4 linked regions of the Saccharomyces cerevisiae S288C genome follow. The gene in region 3 interacts genetically with the main gene of each other region. Each region holds a gene or a part of one and is shown on either strand. Other genes may lie near its edges.

Region 1 (4,861 bases), on a different chromosome or scaffold from region 3:
GAGACGATGAAATCTTAAAAATTGTCAGCAAATAAATGTTTATTTATCGAATACTAGGTCGAAACATTTTTTTTGTTTATTCAAAATGATCATGTACCTTCTTCTCGCGAAAGTTTTAATTAAAATTTACTGATAGTTTTTTAATGATGAACTTCTATAACTAAACCATAATAATGAAAATTACAGGTAATATTTATATCACAAGAAACGGCCCCTCTTTTCTGTTTTTATATAGTAACCATTAAGAATAGTTGGCTAATCTACTATGAAAGTTCCTAATTAAAAAAAATTCATGAAGAGTTAATCAACGTTCCAGTACCAAATTTATTCTATGTTCTCCTTGGAAGATGAACTTGCCGCAGTAGATCATAGAACCTCATTTTCAACGTTTTCCAAAGAAATACTTTTTTTATTTAACTGACAAATATTAATACAGTCTTTATATCATCGATATGACTAAAGTACATCGGAATTGCCCAGCAGTAGAGCTCGTGATCGAATAGAAAAACGAGGGCCTTCAGTAGCTCGTAGACATAGGTTAAGATCATGGATCCTGCATTAAAAAATTCACATAGCGCTAGAATTTTGTTAGCGCATCCGCCTGTTTTTCTTTCAAATGTAAAATTTTAAATACGATCATTCCTTTGGATACTCAGCAATAGTGCGCACCAGTTAAGAACTGTTTTTATGGTTAAACATGTCTTAATATAATGTGCATACTTCAATGCACCCAAAATGTATATGTTCAGACAGTTTGTCAATAGAGTAATAATCATTCAAACAAAACCGTAAATTTGAATGTTAGATGTAGCTGTAAAGAAACTTGCTAGATCTAAATATTAATAGAAAAACTCTAACTATCAATTAAACGACATCTTACATTTCAATTTCATAAAAATTATTCTTTTGGCTAGTTTATATCATATAGCTTTCCGTAAAACCAGTAACAAGCAATACACTAAATTGTCCATGTTTTAACTACCATTTCCTTCTAATTTTTTTCCTTTCTTAGCTGATTTAATTCATTTATTTGCTGTCGTTTGCATTTACTGACTAAAAAAAGTGTAAAATATGGGAAGCGCAAATTGAAAAGTCGGGTTGCGAAATTACCTGCCAAAAATCCACCTCGTTAATATCTAACAAGATTCAACGCCTGTTGACAAAAGAAACTCGTCAGTCTCTCAGTTTACTTCTATGTTTAACATATTTGCTATGATCCACTCTAGATTCTGCCCAGCCCTCAACTTCACGCCCACGTTGAGAGTACATTCAGTACGTTGAAAATACATTCAGTCACACCCGCAGCACAGCAAGTCGTTTCATCTAAGCTATTTTGATCGTTAGAATATCCACACCTCACAAGTATCGACAATTTAGATGTGTATTGGGTTTTGTCTACGCAAATACCATTAGTTTCACACAAGATGCCATCAGCGCTACTGTAAATAGATTGTTCCTCTGTTATCGTGCGAATGGAACTAGAAAACCAATAATCATTGAATAATATATGTGACAGTGACAGGCCACCAGAATAAAGCTAATATCTAGAGGGGTATTTCTTCTTGAGTGAAGAAGAAATATGCTACTTCCAAATTTTAGGACGACAAATCCTCATAATATGAATTAGGCAAATTACAGAATGAAGGGGGTTGAGAAGTCCCACAGCACATCGCTCCTTCGCTAAGAGCTCCACTGCTAAAACAGAAAAAAAAAGTATTAATCAATTGTACTACCATGTTCTTTGTTACTAAACGCGCCTATTTTTTTCGAGAGCCTTTACGAGAGTCAATCAAGCATTCTCCCGCATACTTCGCTAAGAAAAAAGTGATCTTTAATTGGGCCCTTCATCTATCATTTTTGCTTAAGTGGCGTAACTTATTTTATCATTTCCTCTCCCTGCCATCCTCTTTATTTTTGTTCTGTATCACAGCAGTTAATTCAGTTTCCATTCAAAGTATGCCACGGATAACTTGATGCTTCAAGAAGAAAAATTATTTGGCCTAAAACTTGCTGTTTCTTCACAATTTTTCTAAATGCTCTCCGATTCCCGGATTGCAGATGTTTCACTGCTCCACATTATATCCTTTGTGTCCACCTTGATAATCGATACTTTAAAGATTATTTTGTGGGAGGAGAGCCTTAGAAAGAATACGCTTGTTTTAAGAAGGAAAACAAGCGGCACCAATCTTCAATTGGTATTTTAAAATCTATTAGACGTCAAATCCCGGTTAGACTTGAGATAGATGTACCTGGAGAGAAAATCTATAATAAAAAAAAAAATACTTTCAGGTCAGATATTTCTTTTTTTGTCCCTAATAAAAAGAAATGGTATTCTGCCAAACACCAAAGTGCCAAATAAGCATTATTTTACATAGTACGAAATGGAAATTACGTCAATTATCGACATTATGACATAAAATTGGATTTAACAAGATCTCTGAATCTGATATGCTTCTTTCATTAGGGTGGAAATAACAGCATTTGAGAGAAGCAATTGCCAAGCTTCTATGAAAATTTTCTAGAAGGCAAGAGTATTTCAGACTTTCCTAATATGAAAGGACAAATTGACACTAATGTCTGATTATGGCCAATTCCTGCGGTAAATTACACGGCGATTACGGCGACATGAGCTCACATTCATCACTCTATGGGACAAATGTTTCCAAACTGGGCGCAACAAACACCTGATGTGACTCCTACCCTTTGGACAATGCAGATCCACGCTACGGCAAATTAGTCAAATGCACTAGAACATGGCGCAAGTACTTATTGTGACCTTTGGGGTACCGTTACCGTCAGTTTTCTTCAGCTAAGGCGCGCGCGCCAGATAACTAAAAAAAAATATAGTTGCTGCTTAAAAAACAATACACCCGTACTCTCTTGCCTGTAAAAACCTCGAAGGACCAAAGATACCCTCAAGGTTCTCATCTGTGCGGTATTCTTCAAATTACAATGACATTTCCCAAAATTATCAGATGTGCTCAGGTATCTTCTCTCCAATGAGATGAGACAGATGAACATATTTGACCTTGAAGGTCATGGAAAGTAGGTTGAGAGCAAATGTGTAGAACGAAATTAAGAAAAAAAGAAATTACGCACGGCATTAGCTCGATGACTTAGTTATAAATAGAGGCCTGGTATCGGCTGTCATGATCTCATCTCTTCCCTATTTACAAAAAAACTGCAAGTATAGACAATAAAACAACAGCACAAATATCAAAAAAGGAATTATGAGCAACGTTACTACGCCGTGGTGGAAACAATGGGACCCTTCTGAAGTTACACTTGCCGATAAAACCCCTGATGATGTGTGGAAGACCTGTGTTTTGCAAGGTGTTTACTTTGGTGGAAACGAGTACAATGGTAACTTAGGTGCCAGAATATCTTCCGTCTTTGTTATTCTTTTCGTGAGTACTTTTTTCACCATGTTCCCATTAATCTCAACAAAAGTGAAAAGATTGAGAATTCCTCTATATGTTTACCTTTTCGCAAAGTATTTTGGTTCCGGTGTTATTGTTGCAACCGCATTTATCCACTTAATGGACCCTGCTTATGGTGCGATTGGTGGTACCACTTGTGTAGGACAAACCGGTAACTGGGGTCTTTATTCATGGTGTCCTGCCATTATGCTAACGAGTTTGACCTTCACTTTCCTTACTGATCTATTCAGTAGCGTCTGGGTTGAAAGAAAGTATGGTCTTTCCCATGACCATACCCACGATGAAATTAAAGACACTGTTGTGAGAAACACTGCAGCTGTTTCAAGTGAGAATGACAATGAGAATGGTACTGCAAATGGATCTCATGACACCAAGAACGGAGTAGAGTATTATGAAGATTCAGACGCTACATCCATGGATGTTGTTCAATCATTTCAAGCACAATTTTATGCCTTTTTAATTTTAGAATTCGGTGTGATTTTCCACTCCGTTATGATCGGTCTAAACCTGGGAAGTGTTGGTGATGAGTTCTCCTCCCTATACCCTGTCTTAGTGTTCCATCAATCATTTGAAGGTTTAGGTATTGGTGCAAGATTGTCAGCCATTGAATTCCCTAGATCAAAGAGATGGTGGCCATGGGCCCTATGTGTTGCGTATGGGTTAACCACACCAATCTGTGTGGCCATCGGTTTGGGTGTTCGTACCAGATACGTCAGCGGTTCTTACACTGCGCTTGTTATCTCTGGTGTTTTGGATGCCATTTCTGCTGGTATCTTATTGTACACTGGTTTGGTTGAACTACTAGCAAGAGACTTTATATTCAATCCTCAAAGAACAAAGGATCTAAGAGAATTGTCCTTCAACGTTATATGCACTCTTTTCGGTGCTGGTATCATGGCTTTGATCGGTAAGTGGGCTTAAACCAAAGCGAAATTCTGCATGTTCCATATAGATTCTATTTCATATTTTATAGTTATTTATTCTTTAGTAATAGCAAAAAAACAGTAATAATTTTTCTTTAACAGTCTCGGACAATAAATACGCTAAAGAAGATGAAAATGACAACTTTTACGCTGGTGTGCACAAGTGGTACCAGAATACGTGGCCACCAAAACAATGACGGATATAGGGAGAACCAAGTCTAGAAATTACAAATGTTCTTTTGACGGTTGTGAGAAAGTCTACAACAGACCTAGTTTGCTTCAGCAACACCAAAATTCGCATACCAATCAAAAGCCGTATCATTGTGATGAGCCGGGATGTGGCAAAAAATTTATAAGACCGTGCCATCTACGAGTTCACAAATGGACTCATTCACAAATCAAGCCCAAAGCGTGCACATTATGTCAAAAAAGATTTGTCACAAATCAGCAATTAAGAAGGCATTTAAATAGTCATGAAAGAAAAAGCAAGCTTGCATC
Region 2 (5,450 bases), on a different chromosome or scaffold from region 3:
TGTCCAAGGGAACAATTTTTCTTCAAGTTAATGCATAAGAAATATCTTTTTTTATGTTTAGCTAAGTAAAAGCAGCTTGGAGTAAAAAAAAAAATGAGTAAATTTCTCGATGGATTAGTTTCTCACAGGTAACATAACAAAAACCAAGAAAAGCCCGCTTCTGAAAACTACAGTTGACTTGTATGCTAAAGGGCCAGACTAATGGGAGGAGAAAAAGAAACGAATGTATATGCTCATTTACACTCTATATCACCATATGGAGGATAAGTTGGGCTGAGCTTCTGATCCAATTTATTCTATCCATTAGTTGCTGATATGTCCCACCAGCCAACACTTGATAGTATCTACTCGCCATTCACTTCCAGCAGCGCCAGTAGGGTTGTTGAGCTTAGTAAAAATGTGCGCACCACAAGCCTACATGACTCCACGTCACATGAAACCACACCGTGGGGCCTTGTTGCGCTAGGAATAGGATATGCGACGAAGACGCTTCTGCTTAGTAACCACACCACATTTTCAGGGGGTCGATCTGCTTGCTTCCTTTACTGTCACGAGCGGCCCATAATCGCGCTTTTTTTTTAAAAGGCGCGAGACAGCAAACAGGAAGCTCGGGTTTCAACCTTCGGAGTGGTCGCAGATCTGGAGACTGGATCTTTACAATACAGTAAGGCAAGCCACCATCTGCTTCTTAGGTGCATGCGACGGTATCCACGTGCAGAACAACATAGTCTGAAGAAGGGGGGGAGGAGCATGTTCATTCTCTGTAGCAGTAAGAGCTTGGTGATAATGACCAAAACTGGAGTCTCGAAATCATATAAATAGACAATATATTTTCACACAATGAGATTTGTAGTACAGTTCTATTCTCTCTCTTGCATAAATAAGAAATTCATCAAGAACTTGGTTTGATATTTCACCAACACACACAAAAAACAGTACTTCACTAAATTTACACACAAAACAAAATGATCAGAATTGCTATTAACGGTTTCGGTAGAATCGGTAGATTGGTCTTGAGATTGGCTTTGCAAAGAAAAGACATTGAGGTTGTTGCTGTCAACGATCCATTTATCTCTAACGATTATGCTGCTTACATGGTCAAGTACGATTCTACTCATGGTAGATACAAGGGTACTGTTTCCCATGACGACAAGCACATCATCATTGATGGTGTCAAGATCGCTACCTACCAAGAAAGAGACCCAGCTAACTTGCCATGGGGTTCTCTAAAGATCGATGTCGCTGTTGACTCCACTGGTGTTTTCAAGGAATTGGACACCGCTCAAAAGCACATTGACGCTGGTGCCAAGAAGGTTGTCATCACTGCTCCATCTTCTTCTGCTCCAATGTTTGTTGTTGGTGTTAACCACACTAAATACACTCCAGACAAGAAGATTGTCTCCAACGCTTCTTGTACCACCAACTGTTTGGCTCCATTGGCCAAGGTTATCAACGATGCTTTCGGTATTGAAGAAGGTTTGATGACCACTGTTCACTCCATGACCGCCACTCAAAAGACTGTTGATGGTCCATCCCACAAGGACTGGAGAGGTGGTAGAACCGCTTCCGGTAACATTATCCCATCCTCTACCGGTGCTGCTAAGGCTGTCGGTAAGGTCTTGCCAGAATTGCAAGGTAAGTTGACCGGTATGGCTTTCAGAGTCCCAACCGTCGATGTTTCCGTTGTTGACTTGACTGTCAAGTTGGAAAAGGAAGCTACTTACGACCAAATCAAGAAGGCTGTTAAGGCTGCCGCTGAAGGTCCAATGAAGGGTGTTTTGGGTTACACCGAAGATGCCGTTGTCTCCTCTGATTTCTTGGGTGACACTCACGCTTCCATCTTCGATGCCTCCGCTGGTATCCAATTGTCTCCAAAGTTCGTCAAGTTGATTTCCTGGTACGATAACGAATACGGTTACTCCGCCAGAGTTGTTGACTTGATCGAATATGTTGCCAAGGCTTAAATAAAGCAATCTTGATGAGGATAATGATTTTTTTTTGAATATACATAAATACTACCGTTTTTCTGCTAGATTTTGTGAAGACGTAAATAAGTACATATTACTTTTTAAGCCAAGACAAGATTAAGCATTAACTTTACCCTTTTCTCTTCTAAGTTTCAATACTAGTTATCACTGTTTAAAAGTTATGGCGAGAACGTCGGCGGTTAAAATATATTACCCTGAACGTGGTGAATTGAAGTTCTAGGATGGTTTAAAGATTTTTCCTTTTTGGGAAATAAGTAAACAATATATTGCTGCCTTTGCAAAACGCACATACCCACAATATGTGACTATTGGCAAAGAACGCATTATCCTTTGAAGAGGTGGATACTGATACTAAGAGAGTCTCTATTCCGGCTCCACTTTTAGTCCAGAGATTACTTGTCTTCTTACGTATCAGAACAAGAAAGCATTTCCAAAGTAATTGCATTTGCCCTTGAGCAGTATATATATACTAAGAAAGGAATCATACTCTCTTATGTGCCATAATTCTGTTAGGAGCGGAAATAAGGCTGGTTTTTTGGGGATCAAGTTCGGAAGTGCTCTTCTCTCAATTGCCACAGGTGCCATTGCTATCGCATTGCTATGCAAGTTCCACGACCACGAAGCGGTACTGATAGTTATTGTATGCTCGACATTGTTATATGGAATACCGTCACTGATATCGTTTATCACAGAGACTGTTTTTGCGCCTAGCAAGTTTCATATTGGATACTTTTACAACGTTCTTAATTTTGCATTGCCACTGATCACCATGGGCTGCACAGTGGACTATTTTCATAATACCTTGAGGAGCCCAATATCGGTACAAAGCGAGTCTCACAGAGTCTATATAACAACTCTGGATTCTTTGTTAATTTTCACACTTTTCATTAATGGCATACAATTAGGATTCTTCCTGAAGGATGGCAATGCGAACAATTTCGGCAGCTCATCTAACAATATTAGTACGGATCAATATGACAAAGAAGCAAATGCGGTGGAAAATGGTAGATTTGTACCCCTTAAGAACTCTTCACAGACCTTAACACCAGATTTGGAATTATTACACGGTAGTCCCAAGAGTATGAATGGGGTAGCGTGGCTGATTAATGAACTCTCCACAAATTCAAACACAAACGCAAACAAAACCATATCATCCGATGAAAATTCAAACTCTTCAGTTATTCGACACAAATTAGGACCGATTAGCACCAGCAAGTGTCCTAAAAAGCCATCTCATTCGCATTTTTCTAAATTGAAAAAATATAACAGTTTCTTTTTGGGTCCTAAAGAAAATCGATACAAAAGAAATACACAACAAGCTACTAAGGTTCCGACAGAAAAGAAAAGCAACCACCGAAGTAGCCAGTATGTATCCAGACTATCAACCATATCTGACATCTCGAAAAGTTTCCTGAATTTCTTAGCATTAAACGAAAAAAACGGGAATTCGACTTCCACTGCGAGAACACCAAGTGAAGGAAGAGTTTCAATAATAATTAACGAAGGAAATAATACTTTGAAATACAAAACTCCCCATGATTCGCATACTATTGATTCTCCAAACTTGGAGTTAGAAAGAGAAGCTATTGGGAGAATTAATAGTGCCTTACTTCCTGCATGTTTGAGAGTAACAGATAAAATGATATCCCCACAGCAAAGCACTCAAAATGAGGACTCATACCAAGCAACACCATTGATACCCCAGGTGGAAGTTGACGATGATTTCTATGTAGGTGATATCTTAATGACTAATGAACTACAAGACATTCCACAAGTCCCAAGGATATCATCTGATATAGAAGACGATTTCGAACAACAATATACCAAACACGTGGATTTGCCAGCCCGTGTCACTTTAGAGATGTGGGAAAAGGATCAGGAGAAAATACTTCAAAAAGTAACCACAAACCGGGATAAAAGCAAATTACTACCCCCTTTCAGATTCACCTCTGAAAGTGATATGGATCCAAGTACATCCACCGAATTGGAAGTTGAACTGCATGCCCAAAACAACTTCAGCTTTCCCTTTAAAAGTGCAGGATTACAAATTGCTACATCAGACCAATTTAACCAACAGGAGTTTAAAACTTCAGATACTATTAGCGAACTAGATGAGTATTTACATGATCCCAGCATTCAAGAAGAGGATGCAAGTCAGCTGATTGAAAGCAGTTTGAACCAAAACAACCTATCCTCAACTACTATTGACAATGGCCCAAAGGATATGAGTAGATTTAGTACAAGGCATTCACCAACCAAATCGATAATTTCCATGATCAGTGGATCAGGAAGTGTCAAGCACCAACATTCACACAGCACCCTAAGCAACTTTTTTACGGGTCATTCAAGAAACAATTCTCAAATAAATCAGCTATTACAGGGTTCTTCTTCTAATATGATGTCCAACACCTCACCGCATTCATCTCCAACCAAGTCGTTGAGAATGAGATTTGGAAAGAAATTGTCATTATCAAATATCTCTGATACAATGTCGCCATATGAGGGTAGTACAACAGATCCGATAAACTACTCGTTTGGCCATGGTCACAATAAAAACCAGAGTATTGATTTTAGCTACGTACGTACTTTGCAAAGCAGTCATTCACCTACAAAATCAACCTCGGGAAATTCTCGTCGGGATTCTTTAAACAATGATAGAACCCAGAGTACTGTTAATGAAAGAGCGCTTAGAACTGCAAGTACATTATTCTATCTCCAGCACAATAACGCCACATGTACATTGAACGGAGAGGAGCCAGTTCTGGACACACCACAATCTATACAGTCATCATCAAGCGGTTCTGAGCAAGAATCGGCGGGATCTGGTTCTGGCTATCCAGAAGTAGTGTTCAGCGAGTATGATAGAGAAAAATGGAATGTTTTGAGGAATCTAAAAGAGATAGCGCCCGAAAAAACTATAGAGAGCGGACCTGTTGAAGAACTAGTCTCTCCCAGTAAATAAACCAACCGACTTATTCATATGTATCAAAGATACCTATGGGAACTGCTAAAAGCAACTATTTTGATCCCGTAGAACACGATTTATTTCATTAAATTTTTTTTTTTTTTTTTTTTTTTCACTTTCTTGCGATGAGATGCACATAGTAAAAGAAAAGTATACCAGTGTAGTGCGTAAATTAATACCTATATAATAATTCATTTTCGGTGACTCAACATTCCCTGCCTATATTTTAAGCACCTGCAAGAAATATAGATTATATACGAAGGATGGATTCTACTGATCTGTTCGATGTTTTCGAGGAAACACCTGTTGAGCTTCCTACAGATAGTAATGGAGAAAAAAATGCTGATACAAACGTAGGAGATACTCCAGATCATACCCAGGATAAGAAGCATGGCCTTGAAGAAGAAAAAGAAGAGCATGAGGAAAACAACAGTGAAAATAAAAAAATCAAATCCAATAAGAGCAAAACGGAAGATAAAAACAAAAAAGTTGTAGTA
Region 3 (4,170 bases):
GATTATATCAATCGGAAGTTCGTATGCAAAATTGCATATGGAGCAAAGGAAAGGACTTCCATTTAAGACGACAGTATGAGTTATAAGGCTAACCAACCATCTCCTGGGGAGATGCCGAAAAGGTCACCTTCCATCCTGGTGACAGATGCAAGAACATCCAAGAATAGAATGAGTGCACCGTTCGCTGGACACGCTGCTGGTAGTAGGAAGAATATGGAAAACGCAGGAGTTACGAAGTCTCAAGGAGTTCGCTCTTCCGCTATTGGCCCTTCTCCGCTGCAGAGTTTTACTCATCCAAGAAGGCGATCGTCTGGCAGGTTTAGCGATATATCCATAGATAATATTCTTTCTGATAATTCAGATATTCCCTCTGCCAGAAGAGAGGAAAGGCTATCCAGCTCTTCAAGCGATAGGCCTCGCCAATATGAGCGGTTAAGTTCGCGTAGAAAGATGATCAATCCCCTGCCTCCAAGAACATCGAAGACGTCACAAAAGTTAGTGTTGATACCGGAAGACGACAACTTGAACCACTTTCAAACTCTACCAACGAACGCGCTGGATAGGCAAAGACCGAAAGTGGGCTCTATGAAGTCTAATTCCTTCGATCGGCTACCTCGATACTCAAAAGAAAAGTCCATGGCAAGAATCACCGCATATAATGTTGCTGATGGCTTCAATCTCAACCAATTGTATAAGTTTCTGCAGGAAACTCATGAGGTTTCACCAAGATTGTATGATGAGTGTCTATACGTTGCGTATACTTTGCCACTTCTACCAGGTAAAGGCGGTTTTAGAATCAAATCAAATTTATCTAAGAAAACAATGGGTGGAAAGACATTAATTGATAATTTAATTGATACAAGCGAACAGAGAGATCATCATTATGAATATTACTCAGGTGTGGAAACTGTGGAAGATGCAAATAATAATTACGAACTAGAAACCAGTGGAAATAACAATAACGCTAATCAAGACACCACAACAGTTCCCGATCATCTACCAAATCCAGTTGGTCAGCAAGACTCTTTTAATCCTATGGAACCACAATTTTTTGCGGAAGAAACTCCCTTAGAGATAGAGAAACGGGAAAGGACAGAAAGAATAAACATGCTGAAGAAGGAGGAAAACGACAGTGATGCAAGTTGTGGCAACGATAATAATAATAAAAATAATGATAAGAGTAAACTTTATGCTGTTGAGGGAAACGATCAGTATGTACAGTCCTCTCGTTCACCAGCTTCGCCATCATCAATATCTACGCCATCGCCACCATCTTCATCACAGAATGATTTTGATCGTGTATATAAAATGCATAGGGACAACGACCATGAAGGCAATGATAGACATGCAGAAATTTTCATTTTTCACTATGGCGTTATTGTTTTTTGGAACTTTACTGAAATTCAAGAGAAAAATATTCTTGGTGATATAACATTTGCAGATTATAAGAATTTAATGATCCGGCCGCTGGATGAACAAGATATTGAAACTGAACAATTCCATTTCGAATATGACAGAGATACCGAGAGACCGAGAATTTTCAATGATATTGTCACATTACGTTCAGGTGACCACATTATCGAGCTGACACTATCACATGCGATTGCGCAATCTTCGAAATTATCAAGGTTTGAATCCAGAATTTCGCCGATTTTAATATCAGTCACAAAACTACCTAAAAGACTAGCATTATATGGTACCCTTGGGTTAAAAAGGGAACAGCTTTTGAAAAAATCAGGGAAGCTCTTTAAATTGAGAGTGGATGTTAACCTTTCATCCACCATATTGGATACACCCGAGTTTTTTTGGTCGTTCGAACCAAGTTTGCATCCACTGTACGTGGCAATGAGGGAGTATTTAGAAATTGACCAAAGAGTACAAGTATTAAATGATCGTTGCAAAGTTTTCTTGGAATTCTTTGATATATGCGTTGACTCTGTTGCTGAAAGAAACATGGCTCGTGTTACATGGTGGTTTATTCTTGTCATTTTATTTGGAGTTATATTTTCATTAACAGAGATTTTCGTTCGTTATGTAATTATTCATCGTCATACTTCTACATAGATATTCATACACCCTTCTAGACGGCATTAAAAATAAATTAATGATATATTTAGTTATCAAGGTTTTTAGTCATATATTTCACCGTTATTACCATTCTTGGTCACGTGCAAGTAAAACCACTCGTTGATTGGCTCCCCTCAAGATTGCATTAAAAGTACAATAATATGACTAAGGGACTCGAATATGTAAATTCATCTTTCGCATCAACAAAGGAGAAAAAGACGATAGTGAAGACTAATATTTTAGCCAGATTGCAGTGTTTCAGTGATCTTAAAAGTCTTTTTCATTTCTAGCCGCATTGAATTCTTTAAAGCAAACCATTAAGGAGTACTTCCCCAGGTTTTTAACCGATAATAAGAGTAAGATAAAAGTACAAGAAGACAGGGAAATGATTGCTACACCTATAAGATTAGCAAAGAGTGCATATGAGCCGATGATAAAATTCGTCGGTACAAGGCATCCCTTAGTGAAGCATGCAACTGAGGTCGTTGTTCATCCTTGCGCTACCAACGGAATGTTACCTGGCAGCAAAGAGTGTATTCCAGTGAGTAAATTCATGGAAAATTATAAACCATTCCGTGTAGTGCCAATAAAGCATAGCGCTAATGCTGGTCTCAGCTCGTCAAAGACCTCTGTATTCGTTAACAGGCCATTGCAAAAAGATGAGCTTGCTTCCATTTTCGAGCTACCTGCTAGGTTTCGGTACAAACCTATTAACGAGCATGAATTGGAGAGCATAAATAGCGGTGGTGCATGGTGAAGGATAGATGCAGTAATATTATGATTTTTTTTTGTTATTTTATAGTTTCTTTACACATATCATTATATCTATGTAAAAACGTAGTTACTTAGGAAGAGAGAAGAGTGATGATATTATGAATTGAAAAATAAAAATAAAATGAGTATTTAATGAAGGTGGGATAAAACTCTTCTAAATTTTTTGAGTACCGTAGCCTTTAATATCCTTGGCGAAGTCCCATTTCATGTTTTCAACTTGCAAGTTTTTCTTGAAAGTTAAACCTGTGTTCTTATCAATTATGGCCAGTGAGAAGTTTCTAGAAGAACGGGCATCTCTATAATAAAGAACTCTCATTGCATTTACGATCGCCTCTTCAGCAACCTGTACAGTGGTCTTTGGAATATCAGATTCTCGATCTACAACTTTCCTTAACAGTGGGTTTGCCATGTGTGCCCCAAAACCTGTGGCCAAGGTGGGAGACGAATACGTAACACCTAGAAGATTTACGTATCTTAGGAATTGATCACCATTAGACTGTACACCAGCAACAATGATGGCATTCCAAAGTGGATTCATCTTTGATCTTCGCTGGTACATGACGGTAGCTAGATATTCAAAAATATAGCTGGGTTCGAGCGCTTCTTCAGCATCCGCTAGAGGATTGTCATACGCATTTTCAGTGACTAGATCTTTCAATAATCTCTCAATGTGTTGCATATCAGAAATATCACCTGAAATGCCCACAACGGTGTTATCACCCACGGGAATAAGCCTCTCCACGCCATTGAATCTTAGAAGAGAGCCATATGAACCTAAATTATCTGCTGCAATGATAACCCCATTATCATATTTCATTGATATGACGGAAGTACCTGTTACTATTGGTTGCTGTGTATTAACCATGGGAGAGGCGCCTGCGTTCGCAATTTGTGTATTGTAAGCACCATAAGTAGAGTCTGCGGGCCTGCCCCAACTGAAAGGATCGTGATTCATTCGTGTGGGTTTTTATGTTGTTTTCGGCGGAAGATGAAGGATTCCTGCTGCTTATCCCCTTTCTTAACTTAGCTGTACTTTACTATGTGGGTACGTATTTAAGGTGGCAAATTCTAAACCAAGAAGCTGGAACATCTTTAATAAAAAGGATTGACGGGTAACCCTAAAAGGAAAAATAATAAAGAATAAGAGTAAGTTAAACTATATATATAGAAGGACGAAAGAAAAGATACCTCGATTTTTATTTATTTAGTTTGTGTATATAACTTAAGTATTTTATATGTGAATGTAACGTACTATTGGACAAGATATTCATCTGATTTCAAAGAGGTGATGACGTCGTAAGGGAGCTCTTGATCGTGGTCATTGGCCAT
Region 4 (6,840 bases), on a different chromosome or scaffold from region 3:
CAGAGCTTAATGCTTCATTGACATTGCGGCAGCAACAAACTTCCGTTTGGCACTCAATGATCAGCACCTCTTTTCCACTTCAGCTGAAAATTTCAAGCAGTTGACTCTTGTTGGACTTTATTCTTATCTTTTTCTTTACTTAATTTTTCACATTTTAAAAGTTGTTTAGTTTTACCCTTTTTGGAGATTTTATTACAGCGATTGATTATGGGCCAGGTGAATATTGGTCAATTATTGAAATTTCATTTTATCTATGAGAAATAGATGAAAAAATTAGATAATTGTGTTGGGATTCCACTGTTCTCATTAGGTATGAATTTCTCCTGGAGGATACAAAAAAAAAAATTCACAAAAGGGAATCGATTTTTGTCTGTATGATATTATTGAGGCTTTCATTCATTTTACATATTGTCGTTCATTACCTTGTTACATTATCAATCCTTCCATTTCTGTATCCTTTAGATATGATGACTGCCTCTTGATGTTATGCCATATTTGCACCAGTATGTCATATATACTAGCAAGAAGACTGCTAGTCAATTAACAATAGTTGATTCTCGATTCAGCAACCATATTTTTGGAATCGGACTGAATTTTGTCGAACTAATTATACACCTTTCCTTGAAAGAATAAGCTGTTAGTGAGAAACAAGCAAGAACTTGCTAGCCGTCGCAGTTTGTCGGATTTCACTAAATAGACAAAACTACATGTAGAGTATCGTATTTCTATGGTAAAAGTTTACACCATCAAAAATTACCCCGCGAAGACTACGCAAATAAGGTTATACAAGTTAGTTGAGATGAAATAATCATCTCCACGTTCACGATTTAAGGCTAAATTGGAATGCGGCTAAAAAAGAGCGCAGTTACAAGAAAAAGCTACTATTTTATTATGCACGTGTGATAGCATTATCTTCAAGAATAAGCTCAAAAAAGAAAATGAGCTTAAAAAACCGCCTTTCCAGATAATTGAATGTAGCATATACCTATACATGCTTACCATGCCAAAAATATAACGGAACCACTACACATATCGGACCGTATTTTTATGGTTTATCAGTAAGGCCAACCATAAACACCTCAATGTTGGGGAGTCTGTCCTCGGCAATCAATGACGATGCCATTTCACCCTCATTCGAGTACTCGCTAACGTAAGAAAAAGGCACCCCGCAATGGGGTAGATCATACCCTAAAATGTTTCCTAGGTAGAAATAATAGTTACTAGGTAGGACGAAGGCAAGTACTACATAGCAGTACGGTTTCTGAGTCAGTAGTAACCCCTCAAACTTGCTCACACTTATCTTACCAAAAAATGGAGACGGACAATCAAATCTGAATTAAAAACACCGTCGCTTAACTGAATCAGAGAGAGAAGTTGAAACCAATGGTAGGAAATCAATCTAAAATAGAACACTTTAATTCTTAATAAAAAGAGGGGAACAACTTATTTTCTCCATTTGGCCTCGGCAACTTTCAGGGGGGCTTGAACGTATATACCGATCTACGTTGGAATTGACTGCTACTTCGTTCCACTAACCCAACTCAACAAATAAGCCTTGGAACCGCTGCAAGATTAGTCTATGTGACCGTGCCTTTTTTGCACTTTTAGAGAAACAGTGTTAAGAACTGTAATAACTGTTCAATTCTAAGCACTCAAACCGTGCTTGTACATATGCTTCAATGGCCTGCTCGATAGACCGATCACGTTTAATTTTTCTTTAATTTTGCCAAGGGAACGTTCTTTTCGTAGGCACCGCAATTTATTTCTAATGGATAAGTTCTGAATTTTGCTATGAATTAGTTAGTAGGGCCTACTAAAATGGCGTGGTATTTTTAAAGGGCCTTTACCAGCCACTCCTCAACAGAAAACCGTGCTCGCGTTGCAGAAATACGAGGTAGACACGCGCCTTAGGAACATAAAAATAAATATCTCGCGCTCACGGAAGGCAACCACTAACTCCTTTTCATCGAAAAGTGAGGTGTAGCTTACTAAAGCATTCCTCTTTATCCAAGTCGTATATTTTTCTTTATACTGCTAGTTCATTCTGAGCGGAGATTCCTGGCTAACTCTCCAATTGGAAATAAGGTAATAATGACTTTTCATGACGAATTGGGTGAAAATGCTTGGTGCTAGGCCCTGTGTTGTGGCTTTTTTCGGTAATAGTTTAATTTTCCAAAAAGGTTCCTGTGACTATCTTATCAAAGTAGCTTAGACCACGTCCTGCACGGTTTTGCAGACTGCTTAGGGGGTCTCTTGTTGTTATTAGCAGCGGAATATCTTTGTTTACTCATTAAAATGCCCCCCCGTTCGTTGCAAGGAACGCGCGCGCACAGAACTTGCGGATGCTTCCGCAGAAGTGCCCGTAGGAGATTTAAGCTAGCCCAGCGGTTAATCTACGCAGTTGCGTATTCGGAGTCCGCTCACACTTGCAAAAAGCATATAAAAAGCTTCATATTCATCTCATTAGTATCGGTTCTGCCATCCCATTATCTTAGGTTTATGCCTTTTCTGGTTCTCAAGTCAGTAACAACAAATACCCATCGTTGATTCTTTTTGGTAAGATCTCGCCTGTCAAAGAGATGTTCAATCGCTTTAATAAACTTCAAGCCGCTTTGGCTTTGGTCCTTTACTCCCAAAGTGCATTGGGCCAATATTATACCAACAGTTCCTCAATCGCTAGTAACAGCTCCACCGCCGTTTCGTCAACTTCATCAGGTTCCGTTTCCATCAGTAGTTCTATTGAGTTGACCTCATCTACTTCTGATGTCTCGAGCTCTCTCACTGAGTTAACGTCATCCTCCACCGAAGTCTCGAGCTCCATTGCTCCATCAACCTCGTCCTCTGAAGTCTCGAGCTCTATTACTTCATCAGGCTCTTCAGTCTCCGGCTCATCTTCTATTACTTCATCAGGCTCATCAGTCTCCAGTTCATCTTCTGCCACTGAATCAGGCTCATCCGCCTCCGGTTCATCCTCCGCCACTGAATCGGGCTCATCAGTCTCCGGTTCATCTACTTCCATTACATCAGGCTCATCCTCCGCCACTGAATCGGGCTCATCAGTCTCCGGTTCAACTTCTGCCACTGAATCAGGCTCATCCGCCTCCGGTTCATCTTCTGCCACTGAATCAGGCTCATCCGCCTCCGGTTCATCTTCTGCCACAGAATCAGGCTCATCAGTCTCCGGTTCATCTTCTGCCACAGAATCAGGCTCATCAGTCTCCGGTTCATCTTCTGCCACAGAATCAGGCTCCGCTTCTTCGGTTCCTAGCTCATCCGGTTCTGTCACAGAATCAGGCTCATCCTCATCAGCATCTGAATCATCTATCACACAATCTGGTACCGCTTCCGGTTCATCAGCCTCCAGCACGTCCGGTTCTGTTACACAATCTGGTTCCTCCGTTTCCGGTTCATCAGCTTCTTCTGCTCCAGGTATCTCGAGTTCAATTCCTCAATCAACCTCATCGGCTTCCACTGCCTCTGGTTCTATCACCTCCGGTACCTTAAGTTCTATTACCTCTTCGGCTTCTAGTGCAACTGCAACTGCTTCCAACTCTCTTTCTTCCAGCGATGGTACTATTTATTTGCCTTCTACAACCATCAGTGGTGACATCACACTCACCGGTTCAGTCATTGCAACTGAAGCTGTCGAAGTCGCTGCAGGTGGTAAGTTGACCCTACTTGATGGTGACAAATACGTTTTCTCTGCTGATTTCATAATCCATGGTGGCGTTTTCGTAGAAAAGTCTAAGCCAACTTACCCAGGTACCGAATTCGACATTTCTGGTGAAAACTTTGATGTATCTGGTACCTTTAACGCTGAAGAGCCTGCTGCTTCTTCCGCATCTGCCTACTCCTTCACTCCAGGCTCTTTCGATAACAGTGGTGATATTTCTTTGAGTCTATCAGAGTCCACAAAGGGCGAAGTCACATTCTCTCCCTACTCTAACTCTGGTGCTTTCTCTTTCTCAAATGCTATTCTCAATGGTGGTTCCGTCTCTGGTTTGCAGCGTAGAGCTGAATCAGGTTCTGTCAACAACGGTGAGATAAATCTTGAGAATGGCAGTACCTACGTCGTTGTCGAACCAGTTTCTGGAAGTGGTACAATCAACATCATCTCTGGCAACCTTTACTTGCACTATCCAGACACCTTTACTGGCCAAACTGTTGTATTCAAGGGTGAAGGTGTTCTTGCCGTTGACCCAACCGAAACCAACACTACTCCTATCCCTGTGGTTGGATACACTGGTGAAAACCAAATCGCCATTACAGCAGATGTCACTGCTCTTTCTTACGACAGTGCTACTGGTGTTTTAACTGCAACACAAGGCAACTCACAATTCTCCTTCTCTATTGGTACTGGGTTCTCCAGTTCTGGCTTCAACGTCTCCGAAGGAACATTTGCTGGTGCCTATGCTTATTATCTAAATTACGGAGGTGTTGTTGCTTCCAGCGCTACACCCTCATCCACATCTACCACATCAGGGGCTACCAACTCTACTTCCGGTTCCACTTCATTCGGTGCTTCCGTAACTGGTTCAACCGCTTCCACTTCATTCGGTGCTTCCGTGACTGGTTCAACGGCTTCCACCTTGATTTCCGGCTCCCCATCTGTTTATACCACAACATTAACATATGCAACAACCACAAGCACAGTAGTTGTCTCCTGTTCAGAAACAACTGATTCGAACGGTAACGTCTATACCATTACCACAACCGTACCATGTTCATCTACCACCGCCACTATCACTTCTTGCGATGAGACCGGATGTCATGTAACTACGTCTACCGGTACCGTCGCCACTGAAACCGTTTCTTCCAAATCATACACCACTGTTACCGTCACCCACTGTGACAACAATGGCTGTAACACCAAGACTGTCACTTCTGAATGTCCTGAAGAAACTTCAGCAACTACTACTTCTCCAAAATCATACACTACTGTTACCGTTACTCACTGTGACGACAACGGCTGTAACACTAAGACTGTCACCTCTGAGGCCCCTGAAGCCACAACCACTACTGTTTCTCCAAAGACATACACTACCGCTACTGTTACTCAGTGCGATGACAATGGATGTAGCACCAAGACTGTCACTTCTGAAGCTCCTAAAGAAACTTCAGAAACTTCAGAAACCAGTGCTGCCCCTAAGACATACACTACTGCCACTGTTACTCAATGTGATGACAATGGTTGTAACGTCAAGATAATCACCTCTCAAATACCTGAAGCTACTTCAACCGTCACCGCAACTAGTGCTTCTCCAAAGTCATACACTACTGTCACTTCTGAGGGTTCTAAAGCAACCTCATTGACTACTGCCATTTCCAAGGCTTCTAGTGCAATTTCCACATACTCCAAATCTGCAGCTCCAATAAAGACCTCTACTGGTATCATTGTCCAGTCCGAGGGTATTGCCGCAGGTTTGAATGCCAATACTTTGAATGCATTGGTCGGTATTTTCGTTCTTGCTTTCTTTAACTAATTTTTTTAACTGAGGAATTAAAAGTTTATTCCTCTGAAACGAGATAGGTTCTTAATATGCGTTTTATATACGCTTTGTGTAAACAGTTAAGTATTTTTTTAGCTTAATATTTGGATTTTTTTTATTTTTTTTATTCTTTTTGGATGAAATGGTTCCCTCTTCTGCCAATGAAGGGGAGACTAGGTTGATGTGTACACATCGTACACATTTTAAGGACACTTATTTCACTTATTGTCCACAGTAAAATCGTTCAGGCCATAATTAAATGCGAACTTAAGAGAACCTAAAAGTACCTCCCAACTTTTATAGTGGAGCTTCCGCTCTTTGGTCAGAAAAAAATCGAGTTCTGAACACTTGGCTTTATATTACAAATTTCTCCCTTCCAAGAAAGACAAGGGGTGCTTATCGCGACATGTCTCACAATAAACTTTATTATATTTATACTTTATTTATTAATAAGAGTTTCAAATAGGATTCTTGGAGAATTTTCAAAGCGTTTTTGCGTATAAGAAACTTTTCGGTTTGGCTCTTATCAGTTTACTGCCGATCTTTCTTCCTCACTGCTTGACCTGCCACTACGGAAGATCTTACCGACAATGATGTGAGCGGCGAGAACAAGGGAAATCTCGTAAGAATAGGAAACAACCTAACCTCATTTACTAAGAGAACCCGCAGGAAAAGATATCTTTTTGAGGCACAATTTTATGACCGCGTGTTTTCGAATTTTGACAGGGATCATGCAGGCAGAGATTTTCATGTCATTTGACAGCAAGTAACCCACAATCTACAGTCACACCCTTTTTGGCTTTTTTGAGGCGGGACTTTTTTTTTTAAGACATAATTCTTCAGCAGATTGAAATTCTGGTAACCTAATTGAGAAATCCCACGCATAATTGAGTTTTAACTTTCGAATTTTTCAGCAAGATAAATTAATGTCTCGCCCGGGCCATAGACAAAAGAAGAAAATCTATAAACATTCCGTGGATCGCCATGTGATATTTCTATTTAATATAGGCACATGGCTATGGCGAAACCTTAATGTGATACTTATGGTACATATATGTAACATGCTATAGTTACAGTAAGGATTGGCAACTTAATTCGTTTCCTTCGATTTTATACTCTTCGAACGTATTTGCAGTCATTGGCAGTAGAACATCATTTAGCACATCCAACGACTACCGTCGTTGTGCACGTGACACTCACCCCAATTGGACACTGACTTGAACTAAAATAACAGCGTGTCATATAGATAAGGAAGATAAATATATTGGAACTGGTAGTATCACATTTCCATCATGAAAAACCCAGTGTAGCCATATCGAAAATATCAGAAACGAGTGGTAACACGGAACCT

What was found.
Region 1: mutations in KGD4 (region 3) and ZRT1 together harm fitness more than expected from each alone (negative genetic interaction), as found in Saccharomyces cerevisiae (one large-scale study listed by BioGRID).
Region 2: mutations in KGD4 (region 3) and IRC8 together harm fitness more than expected from each alone (negative genetic interaction), as found in Saccharomyces cerevisiae (one large-scale study listed by BioGRID).
Region 4: mutations in KGD4 (region 3) and HPF1 together harm fitness more than expected from each alone (negative genetic interaction), as found in Saccharomyces cerevisiae (one large-scale study listed by BioGRID).

Annotation. Positions count from the first base shown.
Region 1 is NC_001139.9:17,748-22,608, forward strand, and holds ZRT1 (high-affinity Zn(2+) transporter ZRT1), read left to right. Parts: upstream 1-3,230; coding exon 3,231-4,361; downstream 4,362-4,861. Other genes in the region: FZF1 (Fzf1p), read left to right, coding at 4,557-4,861. UniProt on the Saccharomyces cerevisiae protein: High-affinity zinc transport protein.
Region 2 is NC_001142.9:337,306-342,755, forward strand, and holds IRC8 (Irc8p), read left to right. Parts: upstream 1-2,481; coding exon 2,482-4,950; downstream 4,951-5,450. Other genes in the region: YJL052C-A (uncharacterized protein), read right to left, coding at 579-698; glyceraldehyde-3-phosphate dehydrogenase (phosphorylating) TDH1, read left to right, coding at 966-1,964; ATP-dependent RNA helicase MTR4, read left to right, coding at 5,217-5,450.
Region 3 is NC_001138.5:246,071-250,240, forward strand, and holds KGD4 (alpha-ketoglutarate dehydrogenase subunit KGD4), read left to right. Parts: upstream 1-2,452; coding exon 2,453-2,824; downstream 2,825-4,170. Other genes in the region: RMD8 (Rmd8p), read left to right, coding at 76-2,064; PRE4 (proteasome core particle subunit beta 7), read right to left, coding at 2,996-3,796; RET2 (coatomer subunit delta), read right to left, coding at 4,093-4,170. UniProt on the Saccharomyces cerevisiae protein: Molecular adapter that is necessary to a form a stable 2-oxoglutarate dehydrogenase enzyme complex (OGDC).
Region 4 is NC_001147.6:27,346-34,185, reverse strand, and holds HPF1 (mannoprotein), read left to right. Parts: upstream 1-2,579; coding exon 2,580-5,483; downstream 5,484-6,840. UniProt on the Saccharomyces cerevisiae protein: Involved in cell wall organization and biosynthesis.